Rattus norvegicus: one gene and its partners. The protein of the gene in region 6 interacts with the protein of the main gene of each other region in a pairwise test. Links are inferred from orthologs where the notes say so. Each region holds a gene or a part of one and is shown on either strand. Other genes may lie near its edges.

What was found.
Region 1: the proteins of Ccdc57 (region 6) and Sfi1 interact in a two-hybrid assay, tested with the Homo sapiens proteins (2 studies listed by BioGRID). The two-hybrid records come from large-scale screens. The link is inferred for Rattus norvegicus from reciprocal best matches to the Homo sapiens genes CCDC57 and SFI1.
Region 2: the proteins of Ccdc57 (region 6) and Pram1 interact in binary tests that used the Homo sapiens proteins (3 or more experiments, as listed by UniProt). The two-hybrid records come from large-scale screens. The link is inferred for Rattus norvegicus from reciprocal best matches to the Homo sapiens genes CCDC57 and PRAM1.
Region 3: the proteins of Ccdc57 (region 6) and Sirpa interact in a two-hybrid assay, tested with the Homo sapiens proteins (2 studies listed by BioGRID). The two-hybrid records come from large-scale screens. The link is inferred for Rattus norvegicus from reciprocal best matches to the Homo sapiens genes CCDC57 and SIRPA.
Region 4: the proteins of Ccdc57 (region 6) and Prpf31 interact in binary tests that used the Homo sapiens proteins (3 or more experiments, as listed by UniProt). The two-hybrid records come from large-scale screens. The link is inferred for Rattus norvegicus from reciprocal best matches to the Homo sapiens genes CCDC57 and PRPF31.
Region 5: the proteins of Ccdc57 (region 6) and Tmem100 interact in binary tests that used the Homo sapiens proteins (3 or more experiments, as listed by UniProt). The two-hybrid records come from large-scale screens. The link is inferred for Rattus norvegicus from reciprocal best matches to the Homo sapiens genes CCDC57 and TMEM100.
Region 7: the proteins of Ccdc57 (region 6) and Tsga10ip interact in binary tests that used the Homo sapiens proteins (3 or more experiments, as listed by UniProt). The two-hybrid records come from large-scale screens. The link is inferred for Rattus norvegicus from reciprocal best matches to the Homo sapiens genes CCDC57 and TSGA10IP.

What each region holds. Positions count from the first base shown.
Region 1 is NC_086032.1:82,262,712-82,266,211, forward strand, and holds part of Sfi1 (protein SFI1 homolog), read right to left. Parts: intron 2,229-3,500; coding exon 2,058-2,228; intron 1,189-2,057; coding exon 1,117-1,188; intron 1-1,116. UniProt on the Homo sapiens protein: Plays a role in the dynamic structure of centrosome-associated contractile fibers via its interaction with CETN2.
Region 2 is NC_086025.1:15,124,343-15,128,612, reverse strand, and holds the start of Pram1 (PML-RARA-regulated adapter molecule 1), read right to left. Parts: upstream 2,801-4,270; 5' UTR 1-2,800. Other genes in the region: Zfp414 (zinc finger protein 414), read right to left, coding at 3,681-4,158. UniProt on the Homo sapiens protein: May be involved in myeloid differentiation. May be involved in integrin signaling in neutrophils. Binds to PtdIns(4)P.
Region 3 is NC_086021.1:137,308,054-137,311,553, reverse strand, and holds the end of Sirpa (tyrosine-protein phosphatase non-receptor type substrate 1 precursor), read right to left. Parts: intron 2,626-3,500; coding exon 2,368-2,625; 3' UTR 275-2,367; downstream 1-274. UniProt on the Homo sapiens protein: Immunoglobulin-like cell surface receptor for CD47. Acts as docking protein and induces translocation of PTPN6, PTPN11 and other binding partners from the cytosol to the plasma membrane.
Region 4 is NC_086019.1:74,496,423-74,499,922, forward strand, and holds part of Prpf31 (U4/U6 small nuclear ribonucleoprotein Prp31), read right to left. Parts: intron 3,126-3,500; coding exon 3,028-3,125; intron 2,353-3,027; coding exon 2,246-2,352; intron 1,985-2,245; coding exon 1,815-1,984; intron 453-1,814; coding exon 295-452; intron 1-294. UniProt on the Homo sapiens protein: Involved in pre-mRNA splicing as component of the spliceosome. Required for the assembly of the U4/U5/U6 tri-snRNP complex, one of the building blocks of the spliceosome.
Region 5 is NC_086028.1:75,350,506-75,354,690, reverse strand, and holds the start of Tmem100 (transmembrane protein 100), read right to left. Parts: upstream 2,801-4,185; 5' UTR 2,784-2,800; exon of another isoform or gene 2,772-2,783; intron 2,745-2,771; exon of another isoform or gene 2,381-2,744; intron 31-2,380; exon of another isoform or gene 1-30. UniProt on the Homo sapiens protein: Plays a role during embryonic arterial endothelium differentiation and vascular morphogenesis through the ACVRL1 receptor-dependent signaling pathway upon stimulation by bone morphogenetic proteins, such as GDF2/BMP9 and BMP10.
Region 6 is NC_086028.1:106,670,727-106,674,226, reverse strand, and holds part of Ccdc57 (coiled-coil domain-containing protein 57), read left to right. Parts: intron 1-1,818; coding exon 1,819-1,920; intron 1,921-2,420; coding exon 2,421-2,578; intron 2,579-2,714; coding exon 2,715-2,789; intron 2,790-3,500. UniProt on the Homo sapiens protein: Pleiotropic regulator of centriole duplication, mitosis, and ciliogenesis. Critical interface between centrosome and microtubule-mediated cellular processes. Centriole duplication protein required for recruitment of CEP63, CEP152, and PLK4 to the centrosome.
Region 7 is NC_086019.1:212,129,421-212,131,701, forward strand, and holds the end of Tsga10ip (testis-specific protein 10-interacting protein), read right to left. Parts: exon of another isoform or gene 1,923-2,281; intron 1,471-1,922; coding exon 1,371-1,470; intron 1,183-1,370; coding exon 1,064-1,182; intron 637-1,063; coding exon 528-636; 3' UTR 501-527; downstream 1-500.

The DNA of each region.
Region 1 (3,500 bases), on a different chromosome or scaffold from region 6:
ATGAACAAATAAAAAAACAAAAACTTCATTTTGGACTTACTAAGTGTGGTACCCAATGGAAGTGTCATATTTGTGAAGCAAGTGTTGGGGCTATAGGTTTGGGCTAAGGATATGCACTGGGAGTCACCAAAGGACCACAGTTAGGAGGTACACAGTCAGCAGTGCAAAGCTGTCGGGTAGTTCAATGAAGAAAAACCAAGGAGGAGGCATTAGAAGGAGCAAAGAGACAGGAGAGAAACCACCAGACAAGAGTGACCCAGAAGCTGGGAAAGAAAGGGTGCCTGGAGGCACAAACGATGGCACTACAGTTTTGATAAATGCCCCACAAACACTGGTCACTGAGGATGGTCTGACTTTTAGAGGTGGCAGGACATACATGGAGTCACACCTGTGACTCCCTCTTGCACCCTCCTCTCTGCTGTAGCTAAAACTAATGCAACCAAAAGATACAGCAGAGGGTAGTGGCTGTCTTTACACATCCTAACACGTATGTTGATGTGTATCCTAACACGTATGTTGATGTGTACGGTATGATGAGGAATAGCCTGCAGCACAGGGATTTGCTCTGCACTGAAACTCCTTCCAATATCAATGATTCCACAAGGTTCCGACCTCTACAAAGGCTACGTGTCAGGCTCAGCAGTCCCGTGTGAGCACCCATGCTTCTCCTGGGTGGGTTCCTTCTTTTCCAGAGGTCGTGGGGCTTTGGTTTCCTTCAGATCCCCATTAAGATAAGGAATATGCATGAAATTCTCATTCCAGCATAAGGGTATATGAGGGCTGATATTTTAACTAAAAGAAGGCATCAGATCCCATTACAGATGGTTGTGAGCCACCATGTGGTTGCTGGCATTTGAACTTATGTCCTCTGGAATAGCAGTCAATACTCTTTTTTTTTTTTTTTTTTGGTTCTTTTTTTCGGAGCTGGGGACTGAACCCAGGGCCTTGCGCTTCCTAGGTAAGCGCTCTACCACTGAGCTAAATCCCCAGCCCCCAGTCAATACTCTTAACCACTGACTCATCTCTCCAGCCCAAAACTGTTTAAATAAAACAAAACAAAAAAAGAACAAAAGCAGAGGACGCTCGGCAGCAGCACAGCATCTAAGCTAGCAGTACCTGGCTCTGGAAGGAGTCACTCTTCCAAAGGTCACTCGCATCCACAAATATAGGAACTTTCTGGCCACACACCTGAAAAGAAAGGACACACAATTCTAAACTCTACCTTGTCAACATAAGCTTTCTGGAAAAGAAAGGGAACCTTTAAGGTGTCGAGCGAAGGAACCATCGTCTGAATGAAAAGATGATGCCATAGTTAATCTTGCATTAAACAGAAAATGGAGAGGACAGGTTTATAAAACTAAAATCAAGCTGGGCAGTGGTGATGGACCCTTTTAGTCCCAGCACTCAGGAGGCAGAGGAAGGCTGATCTATGAATTCAAGGTCAGCATGGTCTACAGAGGTTCCAGGACAGCCAGGGCTACACAGAGAAACCCTATCTTGAAAAGCAAAACAGGGGTTGGGGATTTAGCTCAGTGGTAGAGCGCTTGCCTAGCAAGTGCAAGGCCCTGGGTTCGGTCCGCAGCTCTGAGAAAAATGAAAGAAAAAAAAAAAGAAAAGCAAAACAAAACAAAATTAAAATAAAATCATGCAGATTTTTTAAAGCACTTTCTTTTTGAGTTCAAGGTTTTGCTTCACATGCATCTCTCTGCTGCACTCCACAGAAAACAATCTCTGCCTCCTGAGTGCTGGGATTAAAGACCTGTGCCATCTCACCTGACTCTGGGTCATGTTTGCTTTGGTTTGTTTTGTTTTTTTTTTTTTTAAAGATTTATTCATTTATTATATGTAAGTACACTGAAGCTGTCTTCAGATACACCAGAAGAGGGCATCGGATCTCATTACAGATGGTTGTGAGCCACCATGTGGTTGCTGGGAATTGAACTCAGGACCTCTGGAAGAGCAGTCAGTGCTCTTAATCACTAAGCCATCTCTCCAGCCCACACATTATCTTTTTAATCCCATTTTGGCTTGAAGGGAAAACAAATGAAAAGTCTCACCTGACACGCAGTTCTCGTAATCTCTGTGGAGTCCAACTTTGTGAGGATTGATAGTACGAGGAGTGGCAGCTTCTAGTTAACTCCCTCTGGATCCCAGAGAAGGCAGAAGACTTTTTGAGGGGCAGTGCCTTTGGAGAACAAGGTTTCTTAACCACGCCATCCCTAAAAGACCTTATTTGAGCAAGCAGAGAGGAAAGGAGAAAGTTTTTCCATACAATATAACTACATTGTAACATTGAACAAAGCTACACTGTTACACCCATGGAGAAACACTGAATATGCCCCAGACAGAAAGCAGCATGAGCAGCAGCAGCCAGCACTCCAGAGTCAGCTCTACGGTGGGAGGCAGAGAACTGCCAAGTGGGTCTTCAGGCCTAGTATGGTCTTCAGGCCTAGTATGGTCTTCAGGCCTAGTATGGTCTTCAGGCCTAGTATGTTCTTTTTGGTTTTAGAGACAGGGTTCTCTGTGCAACCCTGGTTGTCTGTCCTGGAACTCACTCTGCAGACCAGGCTGGCCTGGAACACACAGAGATCCACCTGCCTCTGCCTCCTGAGTACTAAGGTTAAAGGTGTGCACCACCACTACCAAGCAGGTCTAGTATGTTCTTTAGTTAGCTTTTATTCTATTGTAAAGGGGATCATTTACACAGTACAAATAAGTTCCTAAGTATAAACCCAGAAGACGTGGGTTACATTCCCAGCAGCCACATACATGGCAGCTCAAAACCTTTTGTAACTCAGGTTAGAGGATCTGAGATCGCTGCCCTCTAAAAGTCCCAGACATGCACTGGTACACACACACATATGCAGGTGAAACACCTGGACACATAAAAATAAAAATTTTAGCTGAGTGGTGGTGGCACACCTTTAACCTCCGAACTCAGGAGGCTGAGGCAGATCTCTAAGTTCAAGGCCAGCCTAGCCTACACAGTGAGTTCCAGGACAGCCAGGGCTATAAAGAGAAACTCTGTCTTGAAACCAAAATAAATAATAATAGTAATAATGTTTTTATATAAAAGTCTGAGGGAGGGGCTGGAGAGATGGCTCAGTGATTAAGAGCATTGACTGCTCTTCCAGAGGTCCTGAGTTCAATTCCCAGCAACCACATGGTGGCTCACAACCATCTGTAATGAGATCTGATGCCCTCTTCTGCTGTGTCTGAAGACAGCTACATAAAATAAATAATTTTTTTAAAGATACATTTATTTTATTTATATAAATACAGGAGCCCTTTATAGATGGTTATGAGCCACCATATGATTGCTGGGAATTGAACTCAGGACCTCTGGAAGAACACTCACTTGTGTTTTTTGGGTTTTTTTTGGTTTTTTGTTTTTTCGGAGCTGGGGACTGAACCCAGGGCCTTGCGGGCTAGGCAAGCGCTCTACCACTGAGCTAAATCCCCAACCCCTTCACTCGTGCTCTTAACCCCTGAACCATCTC
Region 2 (4,270 bases), on a different chromosome or scaffold from region 6:
TACAGACATGTACTACCGTATCGTGTTAAAATAGGTACTGGGAATCTAAACTCAGATCCTGTTTGTACCTACTACACCATCTCTCCAGCCCAAGGAGTCTTTATCCAGAGACTTATGAGGGATACTAAGGAGCACTAGTGAAAGGCTCTTTGGGATAGGAGGGGATTACCCTAGCTAGACAGAGGTTAGAACCAACCTCTAAGTAATGGAAGAACAACACACTGGACTTCTATTTCCAAGAGGCATGGCCAGCCTGGCTTTGGACTGGAACAGAAGTAAGGCACCATGTTTTCTTTGTGGATATATATGACAGGGGGATTAGTGGTGGGTATAGACATATACCATATCTAGCCAGGATGACCTTGAACCCCCAATCCTCCAGAGTCCACACTCCCACTGATGTGTTTATTAAAAGATAAGGATATGTCCTGGGTTTCAGCACCAATGTTTTTTTTTTTTTTTTTTTTTTTTTTTTTTTTTTTTTAATGTATACATCATACAGCTTTCTGCCTGCATGTATGCAACTACAGGCCAGAAGAGGGCACCAGACCTGATTATAGGTGGTTGTGAGCCACCATGTGGTTGCTGGGAATTGAACTCAGGACCTCTGGAAGAGCAGACAGTGCTCTTAACCTCTAAGCCATCTCTCCAGCCCTACCAATGTGTTTTATAAAAGATAAAGGAGAGGGTGGGGATTATGTTCTAGGGGGGGTCTGGGGGAAGGGGGTGCCTCAGCAGGCCCATGCTGAGACATCCCTTCCCTCTGAGGGACCAGCCAGCATGGGGAGGGAAATTAAGAGGGTAGTAGGGCAGAGAGAGAAGTAGAGAAATAGAAGAGTAGAGGAAGAGTAGAGGACGGCCATGAGCACGTGGAGAGAAGGGGGAGGGGTAAGAACAAGAGAGCATGAGGAAGAGAGGAAGGGGCAAGCAGCCCTTTTCATAGTGTCAGGCATGCCTGGCTGTTGCCAGGTTAACTGTAGGGGTGGAACTTAGAGAGTGCTAACACCCACCTCCTCCTAGTTCTGGAACTTAAGCACTTATTAGCAAGCCTAGTTATGTGGTGTTGATAGAAAGAACCCAAGGCTTTGTGCATGCTAGGCAAGTACTATACTGAGCTACATCCCCATCCATAGTGCATTTTCAAATGGACCCCGAACTCTCCAGAATACAGGTTGGGGTAGATGCCAGCAGCAACAGAAGGTCTGCTGATTGCAAGGAAGATGCTGATAAAGTTCAGTTCTCCATCTTGACCTACCCAACTCAACTATAGCTACCCAAGGCTTTCATCTCTGTGAACCCACTGGCCTCAGGAGCAGGGTTTACTCAGACCTAGATTTCCACATTGCCTTCCTAATTCTTGATACTTAAAAACAAAATTTCTTGAGACAGTGTTGCTTTGTAGTCTAAGTTGGTATGAACTTAAAAAGAATGATCCTTCTCTGTTTTCCAAGAGCTTGGATGTGCCATGTGCTACCATACCATGGGGCTTTTTTCCCCCTCATTTTTTTGAGACATTGTTCACTATGTGTCCTGCCTGGACCTTGTCACTTAGATCAGGCCTTGAATTTACAGAGATCTGCCTGACTCTGCCTGCCAAGTGCTGGGATTAAAGATGTGTGCCACCATGCTTTAAGCTCAGGGCTTAATATATGAAAGGACAATTTTGGCTACTTGATTTTCTTTTTTTTCTACCCCACTCAAACAGGCCATCAGGGTTGCATGGGCAAGCACTTGAGCATGGTAAGCCATATTTCTTTTTTTTTTTTTTTTCCGGAGCTGGGGACTGAACCCAGGGCCTTGCGCTTGCTAGGCAAGTGCTCTACCACTGAGCTAAATCCCCAACCCCCATATTTCTTTTTTGTTATTTTTCAAGACAGGGTTTCTCTGTGTAGCCCTGACTGTCCTAGAACTAGCTCTGTAGAACAGGCTGCCTATGAACTCAGATCCACTTACCTCTGCCTCCCAAGTGCTGGGATTAAAGGCATGTGTCACTATGCCTGGGTTTTTAATAAAGGAAAACCATCTGGGAAAATAACAAACCTATCTGGTTCTGGAAGTTGTAGAACAGAACAGTGGGCACTGACTACTCCTAGGGTGGGCAGTGAGCTGCAGATCTGGATTCCACAGCTGAGATGCCAGGAAAATAGGAGTTCTGATGAGAGTCAGATTCTGTGAAGCCAATTTTAAGTCCCCCTCCCAAGGTGTGTGAGCACCCTAGTCCCATAGGTAGCAGCCTAGTGCTTATTTGGGGGGGGGGGGGGGCTGTAGAAGAGGGCTCAGCAGATAAGCGTTAACTCTGAAATAAATGAAAAAAAAAAAAGATTAACTGTGACACTAACAGAAAGTTCACTCTCATATTGCTCTTACAGAAGATGCAAGTGTGGTTCCCAGCACCCACGCTGGCAGCTCACAAATGCTTAGGGATCCTATACCCTCTTTTGGCCTTCACAAGCATTACACTTCTGTACACATATCACTTGCACTCTCTCTTAAAAAAATAAAGACATGGGCTGGAGAGATGGCTCAGCGGTTAAGAGCACTGACTGCTCTTCCAGAGGTCTTGAGTTCAATTCCCAGCAACCACATGGTGGCTCACAACCATCTGTAATGGGATCTGATGCCCTCTTCCCCTCTTCTGGTGTGTCTGAAGACAGCTACAGTGTACTTATATAGAATAAATAAATACAACTTTTTGGGGTTGGGGATTTAGCTCAGTGGTAGAGCGCTTGCCTAGGAAGCACAAGGCCCTGGGTTCGGTCCCCAGCTCCGAAAAAAAGAACCAAAAAAATAAAATAAAATAAAATAAAGACATTAAAAAAAAAATCTGAGGGGCAAGGGACCCAAGACACAGCACACACTGGCTCAACGTGCCTCCTTTATTGTCCCCTTCTTCCTCAAATTACAAAAATCTCTGTATCCCCTACAACTTAGCCCAGCAGAGCTGGTTCAAAGCTGTGATAAAACTGGATTCTCCCCCTCTGACCACTGTGACACCTCAATAGCAAACAGGGTTGGGTCTTGTGTAGAGTTGAGGAGGGGTCACCTGAGCCTGTGCCTCATCCCTTGCCTCTAGTCCTGTGCCTGAACATTCCTCAGCCTTACCCAACTGGGTGTTGGAACCAAGGAACCCAGGTTTCAGGCTGTGGGGTAGCCAGGGTGGTGGTCCTGCAGGTGCAGTATAATGGCAGACTGAGAGACTGTGAAGAAGTCACACTGTATACACGAATATCAGCCATCTATGTGTTCGCACACAATGTGGCTGGGGGCCATGTACCCTGCAGGCAGGCAGACAGGCAGGCAGGCAGGCAGGCAGGCAGGCAGGCAGGCAGGCAGGCAGGCCTCTGAGTCCTGGGTCTCCCTCCAGAGAGCCTTTCAACCATGGATGGTAGATGTCAACCAGGACAGATTAGACTTTTCCCTGGGCTTGACTACCCATCACAGCAGGTACCACATTTGCCTCCCATCCCTGGACCCACCATAGAAGAAAACCACTCAGAGACAGAACAAGACACAAATGTTTACACAGGAACACTGGCACAGATACCAGATGAAGGCATAGATACCAGTCATTTGAAAGGCAAAAATCATGTATTTTAAGGGACAGTCACCGCTGCTTTCCAGCATTCACAGGGCCCACTTAGGGCACAGGAATGAAGGGCCCCTCCACCCGTCCCTGGTGGTCACCTGCACGCACCTGAGGGCGCATCGGAGCCGCCCTGAGGTCTTCTAGGACTACTGGTAGCACCTGTAGGAAAGAAGCAGTTCAAGTTCAGAATAAAAGTAGGCTCAATCAGCTTTGTAGGCAACCTGCTCCTATACTCACCTTGACTCTTCTTCCAGATGGCAGTGCTGGATGTCGGTGGCCCTGGAGTGGCAGCCAGGAATGGGCGCAGTCTCGGGGGACTCAGGCCAAAGGGTGCAGGGTTCAAGTAAGGAAGGAAGGGCCCAGTGGGGGCAGAGGTGAAAGGCTCAAGTAGTGGGAATGGCAGGCCCAGGGAGGACGAAGGGTCGGACTCTGGGGGACGCTCAGGTACAGGTGGCTCTTTGTCCAGGGCAGGGGGTGGTGGCGGGGCTGGGTTCTGACCATGGTCTATACAAACATGCAGATGCTTGAAGAGCGAGCGATGAGTGCGGAAGCGCAGGAGGCAATTCTCACACCTGGAGGCAGGCACAGTACTTGACTGTCTCCTGGGCAACAGGAAGGGCCTATCCATTGCTACCCAGGGACCAGGATGTGGGAAGGGTATCTACATTAGAACCTCTGTGGTAC
Region 3 (3,500 bases), on a different chromosome or scaffold from region 6:
AGGTAGCCAGTGCTGGGTGAATTGTCTAGATCCCCACGACACTGAGGCAGTGGAGAGAGTCTGTGTCTGAATTTTCAGCACGACCGATGCAGCCATGACTCCCTCTGAGCCAAGGGAACAGAACCTCCGCCTCTGTAAAAACTAGAGAGGACCAAGTGATACAGAACTTTCTGAAGCCCTGGCACACTCCCTCCTCACCCCCAGCCCCAGAGGACAGGCAACTGGCAGACTCCAAGGACAAAGCTTCAGAGACAAAATGAAACACCCCAAGGCATCATTGTTACCCAGAAATCTTTATTACAAAAATATTTTGCAAGCCAAAAATTTTAAGTTGCAACTATGTACAAAATGGGGCCTTTCTCCTTCTCATCTGGTCTACAGATAAAACTGAAATCCCACTCCTCACAGGGCGCTTTCGTACCAGGGTTCCATACATAGGCTTGGGGATCCCCCCAGGCTGCCTGACTAAAGCTAGAGCTACGTATCTTCCCTGCCTCTTTCCTTTCTCCCTCCAAAAAAACTTAAGACAAAATTAGGATGTCAGCGAGGACATCCTTTTAACTCACCTATACACCCGTGTGTGTGTGTGTGTGTGTGTGTGTGTGTGTGTGTGTGCGCGCGCGCATGTGTGTGTGTACACACGTGATGTCTCTTGGCAGAGGGGAAGAGGATGGATCTTTACCTACCAACCCTTTGGAATTAGAAGACAGCCCAAGACCATGGCTGGGCCAAAGACAAGTTACGGTTTGCTAGGCCAGTGAGGTCAACTCTGACTATTGGGTCAGCTAACTCCTGGATGCCTTTATGGGAAGTATCAGGTCACCAGCCCTATAGAGATGAGTCCTGGCTGTTTTCCTGACATCCCTGTCACACCTACAGAAACAGGCAGGTTGAATCAGCTTCTTACTTGAAGAGCCGGAACCAGGAATCCCCCGGCATGGGGGGACATTAGCGCCTCAACTTACTGAGCTGCATGTTAAGACCAGATAGCTAGGGTTGCAACATCTGCTTGCCATTGGGCCCAGCCAGGCCCCGACATCCAGTTTGAAGGGTGGGGGTCAGAGCCTCTGCCCAGACTCTGGGACAGTGGGGTGGTTTGCCCTGGCTCACAGCTGTGTTGTCACAGGTATGATCAGGTTCTGTTCCAGTATGATCCTGCTGAGGTCTGATGGTAATAACAGACTCCTTGCACTGATTACCTCAGAGCGCTGGAATACCGGGTGCTGGCCGAGCGTCCCTTCTCTCCGTATGCCTCTGCAGTGCTTGTGAGTTTGTCACTGACCTTCTCTCCTCAATGAGGAATGGCCAACGTCAGCACTGGATTAGACAAGGCTGCACTTACCACAGTAGCCATGGAGGCCAAGGGCCAGCTGTGGGGACAGAGCCTGGCTCATCCCAGTGACGCTGAGTGCTGAAAATGACAACAGAGGGATCCTTCTTGGTCCTCAGGGTGCTGGGAATTGGAAAAAAAATCTGTTTCTGCTATAAGAAAATCCTTCCGGGACAATAAACTGTTAGACCTCAGACTTCACAAGACCCAACCATTCAACACATGACAAAGAGCCAAGATGCTGCTGCTGTTGTTTTAAGGGGGAAAAGAAAAAAAGAAGAAAGAAAAAGGAAGAAAAAAAAAGAAAAGAAAAGAAACCCAACAACAACTAAACAGCACAAATCAAATTTTCTAACACCTTAGCTTCAAGACTGCACAGTTCACATTTCTCAATAATTTACAGGCGTCCACAGAGCAATGCTGTTGAGTTAGTGCTAGCTGGAGGAAGCGAGCTGGGACTGGAAGGGTGGGGCCACACTGAACATGCCCAGGGAGTCTCTGCTGGTCTAGGGGAAGAGGGTTCCTTCTCCTCAGGGCTCGTCAGCCTGGGAGGTGGGGAGGCTAGCACTGTTGGCTGAAAACTTGTTGACTCCTGGTGTAGTTCTTCCACACATGGGGCGGTCTGATCTAAAGGGAGTCTGGCCCCGAAGCTCAAGTTGGATGGAGATGGTGAACTCTTCTCCACACAGAAGACCAGGCGCTGGAGCATCAAGGAAGCAACCTGGGGGTTGCCAAGACCAGGATCCAGACCCAGTGTGATGGGCTGAGGCACAACGCTTCTTGGATTCTAGGCAGCTTTCTCCAGTTCCCCCTCTGGTTCTGCAACACCCAGCTCCAGAAGAAGGGGACATGGGTGTCCAAGAGGTGTTGGAGAGCCACGGAGGGAAGACAGAAGCCACCCTTACCCCTGGTCCTAGGACCTGTGCCACCTGGCCTTCTGGAGACAGGGCTGGCTGGCTGGTTGTCCTCATCATGGCCACTCCATGTAGGACAAGAAAACTTGTGGGGATGGGGCCTAGAGCCAACCACAGCCCCATTCACTTCCTCTGGACTTGGACACTGGCATACTCTGAGAAGGATGGCTCAGGCTTGGGGGTTGGCTGTGCCCGGTTGAGGTGGACCATGTCCAGGTCAGCATAGGTGAGGGTATCCTCTGGCCTAGGCAGTTTGCCTGTCTCAATGCTTGCATATTCTGTGTGGTTGTTGGGCTCGGGGACCCGGGGGGCGGGCTTCTTCTCTTTGGGCAGATTCAGGTCTGCGTATGTGATGTCGTTGATGTCATTTGTGTCCTGGATCTAAAAGACACAGAGAGAAAGTCATTCTGGAGCCCAGCCTGTTGACTCATCAACTGGCTAAAAAAAATCTGCATGCTTCTTTCCCAGAGGGCTCAGCCTTCATCCAGGCCCCTTCTCCTGCCAATGGTGTCCCATTTCCAGCCTTTTCCCTTCCAATCCACCTTCCTCCGCACAGAGCCCAAAGGGTCTTCTGAACACTATGGTGGTGGTCCCTTTCCAGTCCCAGTTTGCTTCCTCCAGCTTCATGTTACCTCCTTCTTTCTGGGTGGACCCACCTATAGCTATCCTCTCCCCCTTCCCATGTCTTTTCCTTGGCCTGGATCACCCACTCTCACCTCCCTCTCCCATGTAAGAGACCCCAGTGCACCAAGTACAACTCTGATCTAGCATTGCTCTACCCTCCCTCTGGCTGGGCCCAGAGCTCCTCTGAGCCCTTCAGTTCACATCTCCCTAGCATAGCATCTACCACCAAAGACTATGTCTGCTTTACAACCTTAGTAAATGCGATCTCCCAGGAGATAGGGAACACTCCTTCATTTACACATTTATTTTTCTAAATTGGGCACTTGCTATATTGCAGACAAGGCTAGCACAGAGGCCCAGTTCATGGTGACGGGATTAATGGATAGAAAGACAGATAGGTGGAAGGATGAGTGGACAGACGGCTAGACAGAGAGATGAATGGAATCACAGTCAGAAATCATTTCACGGAGGCTTGACGACAATTCTGCACAGGAAGAATGACTGACCCTGTTTTACAGGTTAAAAAATGTGACCTAGAGAGCAGATATAAACTCAATGATTGGTCTAAGTCACTCAACTGAGCAAAAGAAACGAAGCCTGTTGGAACCGAACACGGTGGGCTTCCCATACTG
Region 4 (3,500 bases), on a different chromosome or scaffold from region 6:
AAAGGTAACAGCCACTACAATAATCACTTCTCATCTAGGGCCAGCCATACCCCAGACTCTGGGAGGTAGGCCTTATGCCTGTGCGCTTTCCTAATAACTGCCTCTTGAGGGGTATGCTCTAGCTGCCCCTGGTTTCCAGCCACCCAACCATCCTCATTGCCAAGTGGCAGACCCAGAATAGTATCCTTGCTCTTCCAACCATGTTGCCTCATCCTCCAGGAGCCTGAGGGCTATTGCCAGCCAAGCCAGATAAGGCCTAGTGGCTGGGGCTAGGGGTCAAGGTGAAGTACTCACTGGGGGCAGAGACTGCACAATGTCACTGTGGTAGATGTAGCCAGTGTGAGGCAGCACTGAGGTAGAAGAGAAGCCAGACAGTGTCTTGCGCTGGGCTCCCAACAGCATGATGTTGCAGGCAGGCATCTTAGACAGGTTGGTCAGCCCTCCAGCCACACCTGCAAAAAGAGGTGAGGTCAGAACACAGGGTTTACATCCAGGAACTCATGTATACCTTTGTGGATTAAGTAAGAATGTCCCTCATAGGCTCATACAGTCACCACAAAGTAAAACTCATTGATAGATTAGAAGGTTCAGAAGGCATGGCCTTGTTGAAACAAGTGTGTCACTGGGGGTGGGCTTTGAGGTTTCAAAAGTCCACGCCAGGTCCAATGTCTCTCTCTCTCTGCTTGTGGTTCATCTATATCTCCAGCACTATGCCTGCCTGCTGCTGTGCTCCCTGCCATGATAATAACGGCTTAAGATTCTAAAAGTGTAAGTAAGCCCCCAGCTGTGTCTTCACAGCAAGAGAACAGTGACTAAGACAACTTTGCACCTTCATTTGTTGGCTGGTTTGATATCAAGTATTTCACTCAGTAGCCAAGGCTGGCCTCAAATTCAAAGCAACCCTCCTGCCTCAGCCTTCCAAATAACAGTTACTAGTATAAGTCACTGTATCCAGCAGGACATGGGATCTTTTCTGGTGGGGAGGGGGATTTTATTTTTATTATTTTATATGTATAAGTAGGGTGTGTGCATGGAGATCAGAAACTTATGGGACTTAGCTCTCCCCTCTTGTATGTGGGTTTGGGGGAATCACCACACTCAGGTTCTCAGGTTGTCAAGCCTGGGCAGCAAATTCTTTTACCAGCTGAGTCATCTTTCTAGCTCAGGACACAGAATCTTTAAGGAAATGACTAAGGTAAAATGAGGTCATATGGATCCTGACTCTATCTGACTGGCATTCTTGTAAGAAAAGGAGATAAGGATACAGATACAAGTGGTGTGGCTACACAGCCAAGCAGAGGCCTCTGGAGAAGTCTCACAGCAACTTGGTCTCAGACTTGCCAGCTCTGAAACAGTAGCCTCAGGAGTATATGCATCTTGGCCTGTGGGACTCAAGCCTGAAGCTCAGTGAGCAAAGATGGTAAGTTTTCCCATATTCCCTTTGCAAGCATCTCTCTGCAAGGAAGGAAAGGACTCTGCTACAGGAGCTTCCAGGAGAAAGAGCATAGCACATGGCAGGGTTTGCTGCCCTATCCAGTAGGAAAGCTTGAGCTGACATCAGTACTCTGTGGCTGCTCCAGGGTCTAAAATGGGCCTATTGGCAGGAAGAAGTTGGCTTGCCATCTGTGCAACCTGATTCAGCCAGCCAGCTAAACCTAGAAGGGAGTTGCTATGCTTCTATCGTGTGTACATACCAAGCTGGCTGATCTCAGTCTTCAGGGGACAATACAATCGCGCTAAGGCCAAACCCCACTTCCCCAAGGCAACCTAACCTATCAGCAGCCTCAGCCAAAGGGACCTAGCTGGGACCTCACCCATGATCTTGGCAGCCGTGGAAGCTCCAATGATGATGGACAAGTTGGGTGCAATGAACGACATCCGGGACTCCACGTACTCATAGATGCGGTGCTTGGAGGCATTCAGCTCCAGTGCCATGTCACAGGCCTCCTCTAGTCGCTCTAGTTCCTCATCTGACAGCTGCTGCCTGCATTGTGGGGCAGGTAAGGGTTGGGAACAGACCCCAGTTTTGCTAGGTACAGTTCTAACTAGTGTTCAGTCCCACCCACCCTCTCAGCTGTGTATGCAAGTGTGTTTGTGTAGCTCTAGGACTATCTAAAATTCCATCCGCCTAGGGGTCATAATTCTCAGTCAGCACCACCTTGACCATGACCCCCATTCTGCCTCTCTCTCTTTTGTTAATTGTCCTATTGTAGGCTTGCTGCACCTTACCATATGGCATACATACCCCTGGGTGGTAGAGGCAGTAACACTAACAACCATGATGGTAGCATTGGTCAGGATCTGCTGGAGATTCTCATTGTTCTTACACTTATCCAGGCTGTTGCCCAGTTCCTGGGGTAGGAAGGGGAAAAAGAAATTCTAGGAACACTAACACAGGTCTCCCCTTGAGGAAGTTGGAAAAGCTAAGGTCCATATACTGGAGACTTCTCGTGCCTTTTACAGTTTTACAACATCCCTGCCTAAAGCATCAGTGCTGCCTACTCTGCTCTGCTGATGCAGAAGTAGAACCTAGGCAGAGCAGCCTCCAAGGAAGACATGTGCACTAAAGAGGCCTTCAAAAGTGCACTTTCTTCCACAGACAAGACTTCTTCTGCCACCATCCTGATCTCTTGGGCAGAGACAGGACCCCTGCTCTTTCACCTCCACCTGCTCCCATCACTTCTAGAGAAGCCAACACCTTCTACGTCTAATGTTCTCTGACCTTTCTAAGCTTCCCTCCCTGCCCCTTCTGACTTCATCCTTACTTGTTCCCACTCAGGGTCTTAGCTCTTATTCAGCTGTGGCCTCTGCCAGATCAAAGGACTCCTGCTCCAACTGCAGCTAGAAGTAAGGGCCAGGTCAGTGGTTATCCTCCCACAAAACCAAGGGGAGGAGGGAAGCAAGGGATGTGTATGACACATCCATTCCAGTATCTGTCTCTCACCACTGAGCCCCGTTATTTCTAGACTTGAGGCTTCCTGGTCTAGTGGCCTCAGTTCTTCCCAAGCCAGACTCCTCTCCACTCACCTTGACTGTGCGGATGTAATCCAGAGCGTTGGGCACCAAGGATTCTAGCTCAGGGAATCTCTTTGAGTATTTATCCCGGATGAACTTATGGATAATGTCTAAATGGGACATGGAGGGTAGGTGTCCACTGAGGGGGAGGCAGACTCTGCTGCTATCCCCAACACCCACTTCCACCACTTTAGTAACCAACCCCAAATCATGTGTGGGGACATGGATGCCAGCATGAAATATATATTTCCTAGCTGTCCCCAATGCTATGTGGAGGGGGAAGTTTGTTCTACAAAGGTCTACAAAATATGAACCAAAGTGACATTTTTCAACTTCCAGATCATGGCCATAAGGAAACAACCATGCCCTATCTTCCCTCCACATTTTCTGGTAAGGATATGGAGGTGAGCGATCATCCTAGAGCATGAACAGGTGCAGAGCCTGGCTGCTGAAGGGGGTCAAAGGATGATTCGACTTGCTTTCCT
Region 5 (4,185 bases), about 31 Mb from region 6:
CCTCCCCTCTCAATTGACTCCCTCTTCCTCTAGCATGCCTCTCCCTGTCTTTTTTCCTTTCTTTCTTCTTTCTTTCTTTTTCTTTTCACTGCCAGCAGATTCAGAGTTTTGGCTTGCTCCAGCTCTGTTCAGGGACATGGTAATTCCGGATCATCACTTCACAGTCCCCAGAGAGAGGAGCCAGCGTCGGCTTTTCTTCCCACCATTTACTAAGCAGGCTGCTCTGAATTACTCGGTGTTTCTAGATCTTCCTCTGGCTTGCCCATCAGGCATATTCATAAGAGAATCCCAGAGTCAGCACTGCAGACCTAGCTGACTGACAGAACCGGGGAACAGAAGCTCCTCAGAGACAGGAACAGCTGTGGAGTTCTCAAGCTGCTGAGCCCAGCCTCTAGGTCAGCAAAGAACCAGAGCCTCAGACTCTGACAGTTTTCCACTCATGTATGTGTGAGCCGGCCCCTCCCCTCATGTTCCTTCATTTACAGAAGAGGAGGACGGGAAATACTACATTCCTGGTTATGCTGGGAAGTCCTGGTTAACTTGATTTAAGCAGGACTGCTTACTGCTTAAGGTGCTGGGGGATGAATGGCTTTGGCAAACCTGGAATCACCACCACCGTCACCAGCAACACTGCCTCTCTGGACAAAGCCCCTACTATGGGTGTGGTATGACATTAAAGACTGACACATGTTAGTATTAATTCTCATTCATTTGTAAGTGAAGTTATGGGGACATGCAGAGGTAAATGAATATGACTTAAGTTCACAAAGAAACTCTTGCTTCAGACCCCAGTCACATTTTTCCCCATACTGGAGATGGATCCCAGGGTCTCGTATGTACTAAGTAAGTACTTTATCATTCTGCTATATTCCCAGTCCACTCTCTGCCTTGACCCATGAATCCCTATGCCTCAGTTTCTTCAGTAGCTACAGTCACAGACTTCACCACCAGGCCCACTGGACCTCAGTCACGAAATGGTGCAAGCTCACCCACTGATTCTCACCCACTGAGCTTATTAAATGAAGAGTCTGAATAAGTAGCTTCGTGGTAAGCCCACCTATGCCAAGTCTGCTGTTTTTGGTTCCACTTTAACCAACAACACATCTTAAATAGTCCAACACACTCACACACACACACACACACACACACACACACACACACACACACACGGCACAGTATTCTTTCGAAGAATAAACTCAAGGCATCATCGATGACCCGACAGGCTCATGCTTTCTTAGAGTAAAGCCACTTGAAACTGTAAGTATTTAAAAAGCGTAAAGCCTGGGGTGGAAAATGTCGGTGGCAAAATAAGGGCACTGTGATGAGCTTGTCCCTGTGTCTAAAGGCTATCCCATGATTCCTTTCCTCTGTGCAAGTCTTACTAAATCCCGCTATAGTTCACTCATTCGAGTCAATGACAGAATAGCATTGTCTTTCCGTCTGAGGGATGCTAGCTTTCTTTAGCCACTGGCTTACCTCCTGGACCTCTCACCCTCCCAGCTCAGCCCTCCCCAAGGTGACGCAGAGAGACCAGGAGTCCTTTTCCTCCTATGTGAGCCAGAGCAAGTGTTCCTTCGTTCCAGTTGATCACACCGAGAAATCCCCGAGACCTGTCTGAGTTAGAGGTCCAACATGCTGGGTATAGGAGGAGGCCACTTGCAGGCCACTTGGAAACCCAGAATGCCATCATCCTCACGGCTTCCAACGTGAGTCTTAGAGAAATGGAGTCTCACATATAGCTAGTGACATCACTGGAGGTGAGTCTGGGCATCTTTGGAACCATGGCATTTCAGAAGAGGGTGACCTGGGGTCTAGGCTACATCAAGAAGAAGCCCTCAAAGAGAACGTCTTCCCACTTGAGAACTCTCGCCTTTGGGGCAAGTCCTTCCTAATTCCTACTGAAGGCCATTTTCTGCAAATCAAACAAATCTCCAATAGCAACCAGGAAGCTCTGAACATCACCTTATCCTACCGAAGACCATTTTCCCCTTGCTTCCTAAGCCAAAGGTAAGGAAATGAACCTACAGAGGGGAGAGAGGCATCCTTGCCCACAGCGAACCACCCCACCCCACCCCAGGGGCTGAAGCAGTAAGGAGAGACAGTGAACAGAATTGTGTCCCCAGGGTGGAAGGCCACAGGTTTGTTGCTACTCCTAACACTGACGATTCAGCCTTCTCCTGGTTTCAGGTGTGGTGTCCCATGCCACTGTCCCAGCACAATGTGAAGGCATCTGCCTAGGTATGAAGATGCCAGTCTCCAAAATCAGACGACTCCTGGTTGGAACCGGTAAATTTAAAGAAATGGAAAACTCAGGGATTAATCAGAAAGCATGCCAGAAGAGGTAGAAGAAGCATCAAGGACACAAGCATCTTTAACCAACCTTATCTCTTAAGAAAAAAAGAAATAAAAAGGAATTTCACAGCAACGCATGCAAAATGCCTTTGAATGTCCAGTCTTCCGCCCAGACAGTGCCTATCTGGTATAAAGCTCCCTGGGGAATCGCTTACTGGACACCTGGCCCCACGTGCAAATTTTCATCACAATGCATCCAGTCTTTTTTTTTTTTTTTTTTTTTTTTTTCTGCAAGCTCTCTGTGCAGAAGAAGGAGGAAATCTCCCTGGTTCTTTTTAGAGTGCAGGGCTTGTGAAGGCTCAAGTTTGGAAAACTTTTCTGAAGGCTTCCGAGTGCATGAATGGTAACAGTCCTCCCAGGGCGAACCCCGCCGGCAAGCATTCGACAAGTCTCTCCCAGATCTTTCAAAGAGCAAGGAAACCGAACCTTACCTTTCTCAGCCAGAAGCGGACTGAGACAGCTGCGAGCGCCGGCCAACAGCAAGGCCGAGAGTGGGATGCAAATCAGCACGCTAGGGACCGTACACAAAGTACTCAGCAAGACTTACAGACCATTAAGGGACCGGAGACAATTTGGTGAGAGGAAATTCCTTACATGCTGTTGTATTTTACTCTTTTTTTTTCCGTGCTCACACCATCCACTGTAATTACAGGAGTGAATCCCTAGTAATCCAATTATTTAAAAGGTCATTCAGAATCTCTCCTGCTTTGTTTTCTTAGTTTTAAATTCTTAGGCAAGCATTCTTTTTTAAGGTTTTTCTCTAACCTCTTTTTGATATCACTCCTTTGTAATGTGAAGCTGCAGAAAAGAACTCCTCTTTGGTCTTCTACATTACCGGTGGAGGGGGAGTGTGGGTAGGGGTGGCGGAGGGATGTGCATGGGTTTGGAAGGGGGAGTGGGATCCCCTGCAGATATGTCATCAGGACATTCAAGTGATAAAAGAAAAATCGATGGATAATAAGAGATAAGGTTGGGTGGCCTGTCATCATGAAGTCATGTAAACTGGTTCTCCAATGATTTGGAAGGGGGAGTGGGATCCCCTGCAGATATGTCATCAGGACATTCAAGTGATAAAAGAAAAATCGATGGATAATAAAAGATAAGGTTGGGTGGCCTGTCATCATGAAGTCATGTAAACTGGTTCTCCAATGGTCCTCATATGAGGATGCCAGATGGCATGGGGTTGCTAACACACTGCACCGTCACATCTCGGAAGAACTGAGGCCACCAAGAAACTCACAAATAACACCGTGAGGGAGAAAATTCCTCTTTACTTAAAAAACATCTCCTCTTCCTTAGCAATAAGGTACAGTTGCTTAGAGGGACCGCAGTGGACCGAAGGAAGGAGATGTCCAATACCAGGACAAAGAGGTCACTGGTGCAGTTCCCATCTGTAGGAGCCAAAGGCTGGGATGTTTCCACACTGCCTCTGCTGGCATTTTCTCTTTTGGGAAACACACTTGCGCTTTGCATTTGGGGAAGAATTGCCCTCACGTGTGTTTGATTATTCTCCCTCCCTCCCACTTTCGTTCTGCTTTTGCTTGGTGTGGTTGAGCTGGCTAGTTTCCAGCATCTAGGAAGATGCCGGTCCCTCAGGCTCCTCTCTGTCCAATCACCACATGAAGATCGCCGTCATCACCCAGCCCAGTTGAGTTCAGTGAAATTCGGGAAGCTGGCCAGCTTTTCTTCTAGCTATTTTTTTTAAAAGGGTGTGTCTACAGTTCTACTCTGAAATCAGGGGCATTTTGGAAAGCGATCTGTGCTTTTTGGATAGCATGTCTCACTTGCTATTCCCCCTCCCAAACACGTCCCGGGCATTTTTCTTTAAGTAGA
Region 6 (3,500 bases):
TCTAACCCTAACCCTGACCCTGAGCCCTGATGGGTCTGACGGGAGAGGTGGGTGTCATAAATGCTTCTGGTTGGTTTGAGCACAGAGGCTGGCTGCCACTTGTTGAGACAAAGAACACGCACAAGGAAACACAGTGACGGATTGTTGTGTGAGGTCCCCTGGTTTATCCAAGACCTCTAGACAGGAACCTGGAGCTGTCACTAAATCCCGATGCAGGTCCCCAGAACCTTGACAACAAAAGCACAGTAGAGACAGGACCAGAAGGTGGCAGCACAGGCTTGATGTTGTATAGAACTCTGCTCTCTGGTGGCCACAACCTGCAGAACTTACTCTGTGGATTTTGTTCAGAAAAAACCAAACCAAAACAAAACAAAACAAAAAAAACAAAAAAAAAAACAAAAAAAAAACAATGTTTCAAGATTCTGTGTGTTTGTTGTTGTTGTTTGGTTATTTGGTTGTTTGGTTTTGAGTCTTTTGAGGCAGATTCCTAACATGTAGCCAAGGCTGCCTAGAACTTGAGGGGATCTTCTCTATCTTTGCCTACCAGGTTCTTTCTCCGTTTACAGGTAGTTCCACCAACTCACCACCCTCCTTTCTTTTCCCCTCCCTCCCTCCCTCCCTTCCTCCCCCCCTCTCTCCCTCCCTCCCTTCTTTCCTTCCTTCCTTCCTTCGTTTCTATGCTTGGAATAGAACCCAGGGTACCACACATGACAGGCAAGCATTTTGCCATGATTTTATAATTATAATAATGACTTTAATATTCTGATTCCAGTAAGGGTCAGTCGTGTGACTACATATTTCACATTTACCTCTCAAGGGACTGAAAGGGGAAACATAACTTCTAGTTGTGCCTTTTGCAGTTTCCTGAGTCAGAAAGTGAGACCTGCTGCTGCAGTGCTCACACAGTGCACCTGTTTGTCTGGTAGGGGTGGGGGCAACTCCCTCAGAGCTACATCTGTGCTCCCTCAGCCTGTCCTTCAGGGCTGGAGTCTGGTGGTGGGCAGCACAGGGCCGGGCCCAGGACTAGAGGGGCTCCCATGAGTCCCTGAGCACTCAGTCTTCCCCAGGGGCTCTTGCTCTATGCTGATCAAAAATGAGACAAAGGTACCTGACCCCAGTAATAAAGAAATTAGGCTTTTTGGTTCACTGGTAGCTGGAGAATCCAAACACTTTTATCAGCCAGTGACCCCATAGAGGGCCTCATCATGTCAGAAATGAAAAGGAAGTGTGTAGAAGGGAATGTATGCTATCCTGACAGCAATGCTAACTGAACTGCAAGAATTATACCAGCCATTCCTCAGAGAGAGGCTTCTTTTTTTTTCTTTTTCTTTTTCTTTTTCTTTTTTTCGGAGCTGGGGACCGAACCCAGGGCCTTGCGTTTGCTAGGCAAGCGCTCTACCGCTGAGCTAAATCCCCAACCCCCAGAGAGAGGCTTCTTAAAGTGGTTTCATTTATGACCCCATTTTGCCTGAGAATTTTTGTTGTTGTTTCTTTGGTTGGTTGGTTTGTTTTGTTTGTTTTTCAAGACAGGATTTCTCTGTGTAGCCCTGGCTGTCCTGGAACTTACTCTGTAAATCAGGCTGGCCTTGAACTCAGAGATCCGCCTGCATCTGCCTCCTTAGTGCTTAGATTGACGGTATATATTGATATAGATACATAGATCTTGAAGAATGTTATAGGAAAATATAGTTAAACAGTTTTGTATGTAGAACAGAAAACTTTGTGTGTACAGATGTTGTAATTCATTATGAGCAGTGGTCTCACACCTGAGCTGAGATGTTTGCAGCGGCTGCTCTCCTCTCTTGACTCTTATTCCAGGAACTGCTGCAAGAATTTGAATCTGAAGCTCAGAGAAGGGAGCATGAGTTCCAACTGAGAGCTGATGACTTGAGCAACACTGTCTTGACCCACGAGCTCAAGGTAACTGGCTGGGCAGGGTTTTTGAAGTGTTTCCAGTTTTCAAGTTCACTGTTGCCAGCTTTAATTACCCTGTACTACAGAACACCATGCTGTTCTTTAGTTAGTTAGTTAGGTTTTTTTTTTTTTTGTTTTTTTTTTTTTTGAGACAGGGTTTCTCTGTGTAGTCCTGTCTATCCTGGAGCTAGATCTGTAGACCAGGCTGGCCTCGAACTCAGAGATCTGCCTCGAACTCAGAGATCTGCCTGCCTCTGCCAAGTGCTGGGACCACACCAGGTTTTGCACTGTTCCTTTTTGTTTGTTTGTTTGTTTGTTTGTTTAATATTGGGAGATGCTTTTCTCTCTTTATTTTGCACATATCTGGTATCCGGTACTGGGGGTTGAACTCGAGACCTTGTGCATGCTAGACAAGTGCTCTGCCACTGAGTCCTAACCAGCTCAGCTAGAAGCCATACTGTTCCTTTTACCCATTTACTCTCCTGGAACTTTTCAATCTCCCTCAGGTAAAGCTGCTAAACAAAGAGCTTCAGGCTTTAAAAGAAGCTGGAGCACAGGCAACAGAGAGTCTGCAGAAGGCAGAATCAGAGCACATTGAATTAGAGAGGAAGCTACAGGATCATGCCCGGGAGCTACAGGATCTGGAGGCCATGAAGGATGCTCGGTGCGTGGGTTCTGCTCTCAAGGCATTGTGGCCATAAGGACTAGACCCTGGTGGCGCTGCCTTCCTGGCTTCTTCCAGTTCTATTCTTTGGTCTCTTATGTAACTGCTCTTCTTTACTGACACAGTTTCTGTTTAGGATAAAGGACTTGGAGAAGAAGCTTCACTCTGTACAGCTGGCCAAGAAGAAAGCTGAGGAGACTTTCAGGAGGAAGTGCGTATTTCTGCCTGGGTAGTGCCTCTGGAAAAGAGTCTGGATCATACTCTCTGGAGACAAGAGCCCTGTGACGGGGTAGCCTGAGCTGGGATACCACTTTGGTTAACTCCATGCTCTACTTCCTTAGAAAGGGTTAGGCATCCAGTGTCTCAAAGCTTAAAATGTTTGAAGGGCCAAGACTCCAGTCCAGTTCATTGATAAAACACAAACTAAAAATGTCTAAAACTCTGGATTTAGTCTACAGTGTCTAAAACAGGCTTTAAAATATAACCTTAGTTAAATTTTAACTTTTATGGGTAAATGAGATGGCTCTGTGGATAAAATCACTTGTCAACATGGTGGGTGACCTGAGTTCCATCCCTGGAACCCACGTGGTAAAAGGAGAGAACTGGCTCCATACACACACCCCACACTAGATAAATACATATTTTAAAATTTAGCATTAACATTTAAAACTTGAATGTTCTACTCACTAGTTTATAAGTTGTAGACTATTAGCCCCAAGCTTTGCCATGCTGACACAGTCACCTGGTTGGCCACACCCCTTACTCTCAGATGCAGACTCTCTTGAGTTCTCTTTTTCCTGTTGATATACCCTGTACTCAGTGTGGGTTGGGACCCAGCCAACAGGAACAGGCACAACACCCAGGAAATAAATAGTATGTTGGCTCAAGGCGGAACTTCAGCAATGCAATTAAAGCGTTGTTC
Region 7 (2,281 bases), on a different chromosome or scaffold from region 6:
TCTTTTTTTTTCCTTTCAGACTGGCCCATTAACTATGTAGCCCAGGCTGGGATTACAGGCATAAGCCACAATGCTTTTCCAGCCTTTTTTAGGGTTTCTGTTTGATTGCTTGTTTGGTTTGGGTCTTAAGGAGAGGATGTTTTAGGGTAAGGGTTCAGACACTTCTGATAGTCGTTGCTACTCTGGGCTTCCTGTGTAGCATATCTCTGGTGTGTTTTGGTGTGGGGGATGGGCTCCTTTAAAGTTCCGCTCCAAGACTGTTCAGAAGCAATGTCCTGTTCTAAGATTTCTAGGTGTGTGTCTACCCCCCCCCCCCCCCCCCGTGTGTTGGAGAAAACATGGGAAAGTCTCGGCGGATTCCTTTCAGGTGTCCCACTCCTCAGAAGCAGAAACCGCATGTTTGCTGAGGATAAGGTGTAGCCTGGGTTTCCAGAGTATGGGGTAAACAGCTCAAACAACTCAGCCCACAGCCAGCTCGCCTCAGAAATCTTACTCTGTACTTGGCCATAAAGCATTTAATTTTTCTCTCAGTCCAGGGTTGGGGAAGGGTGTCTTCCAGGCTGGCTGCTGGTTGGCTCTGTCTTTGGGGGACTCTGAGGAGAGGACTCCATTTCTACTCCAAATGACCGGTAGCTCCTTAAAGACACAGATGGAGGCCAATGGTCTCCACAGCACCCTATTCCATGCCCAGTGCAAACTTCTACCCTGTGGGTCTAAATCTAAGTCCTATGCTTGGTTGCTGTGTGACACTGGAGAGGGACACCCCGTCCTGCAGTCTCAGTGGTTTGGGGGTTGGTTGGTTGTTTTACTGTGAAGTGAATCTTACAGTCCCTGCTCTGTACCAGATTACTTACCCTAAGGGGTAAGGGACACCCTGAAAGGTGACAGAACGACACCAGCTGCTGGCGCAAGGGTGATTGCTCAGAGTCCAGGACTAGCTTTACTGCTTACTCCTGTGTCAAGTAAGGTCCTACTCTGGTCTCATTGGAAGGTGGGGACAGTAGCCCTGGCTCACCTTCCTGAGTGACATGGAGAACTGGAAGGGTACCTTGTCCCATCTCACCTGTGTTTCCGGGGGATGCCCTCTGCATTGCCTGCCTCAGCCAGCAGCTGTTCCTCATCCACTCCCAATGCTGACAGCACCTGGGAGAAGCGCCGGTTTGCTGTGAGCCTGGCATTGGTCTGATGGGAGAAAAAAAGGGTTCCTACCCTTCACCAAGGCTGCCGGGGTCACTGTGGGGCTCAGATTATTAAGAAGGGGTCCCAGGCCTTCTGGGGGGACAGATAGGACCCCACTCCACCTTTGTTTCGATACACACTTGTGGAAGCAGCTCTTTGGTGGTGGTGGTGGGCCTGTATTGTGCCCTCACCTGCATGGCCTGCTGGAACAGGAAGGGCCGGGCCTGCACTCTATGCTGGATGCCCTGGAGCTCTGCTTGGTACTCGGCAAAACGCTGTCGCTCCTTGCGCCTGTGAAGGAGACAAGACAGGCCTCTGGGCAGCCGAACATAGACACTCCCCAGGCTGGAGCCTCCTGGTCTTCCTTGAAGCTTATTAACTTAAAAGTTTCCCCTGACACTTACAAAGCCAGTATATTCCCAGTCCAGCTCTGTATTTCTTGGGTGGGATTACCAGGGTGGGGGTTATTTGCCCCATTTTACCGCTGGCCCAAAAAGGTGGTGGGGACTTTCCCTAGGTTGCAGGATTGAGCCACCTGTCCCAGGTTAGGCTGTGCATCCAGGGCTTGCCCACCTTCTGACCACAGCCAAAGGAGGGAGCCTGTCCTCCTGCCTTTTGACCTCCTGCTTCCACAGCCTCTCCATTTGTAAACCTCCCTTATCTCCGGCTACTGCCCTTTGAGGATGCTATGGAGCGTGTGGCCTGCAGAGCCTTAGCTCTGAGTCCAGTTTTCTTCACTACAGCAGGCGTTGGACAGCGCTCCCAGGTACCCTATGCCTTCTCTGTGTGTGGAGACAGACAGCTTAGAAGACAACAGAGGAACCAACGAAGACTATTGCAAAAAAAAAGAACATCTCCCAAAGCTGGGTCTGGTGGCTAACATTTGAGAAGCTGAGGCAGGAAGATTGCCTAAACTCAAAGACAACCTGGGCTACAGAGTAAATTATAGGCCAGTCTGGATTGCAGAATGAGACTATAGGAAACAGACAAACAAAGATGTGGGCTGCACTGGAGAAAGATTTCCTGTTTATGGAAATCAGTTTGAGGATGTTTAGACGGCTCAGCAGGTAAAGGTGCTTGCCACACTCAAGGCTAGCAGGCA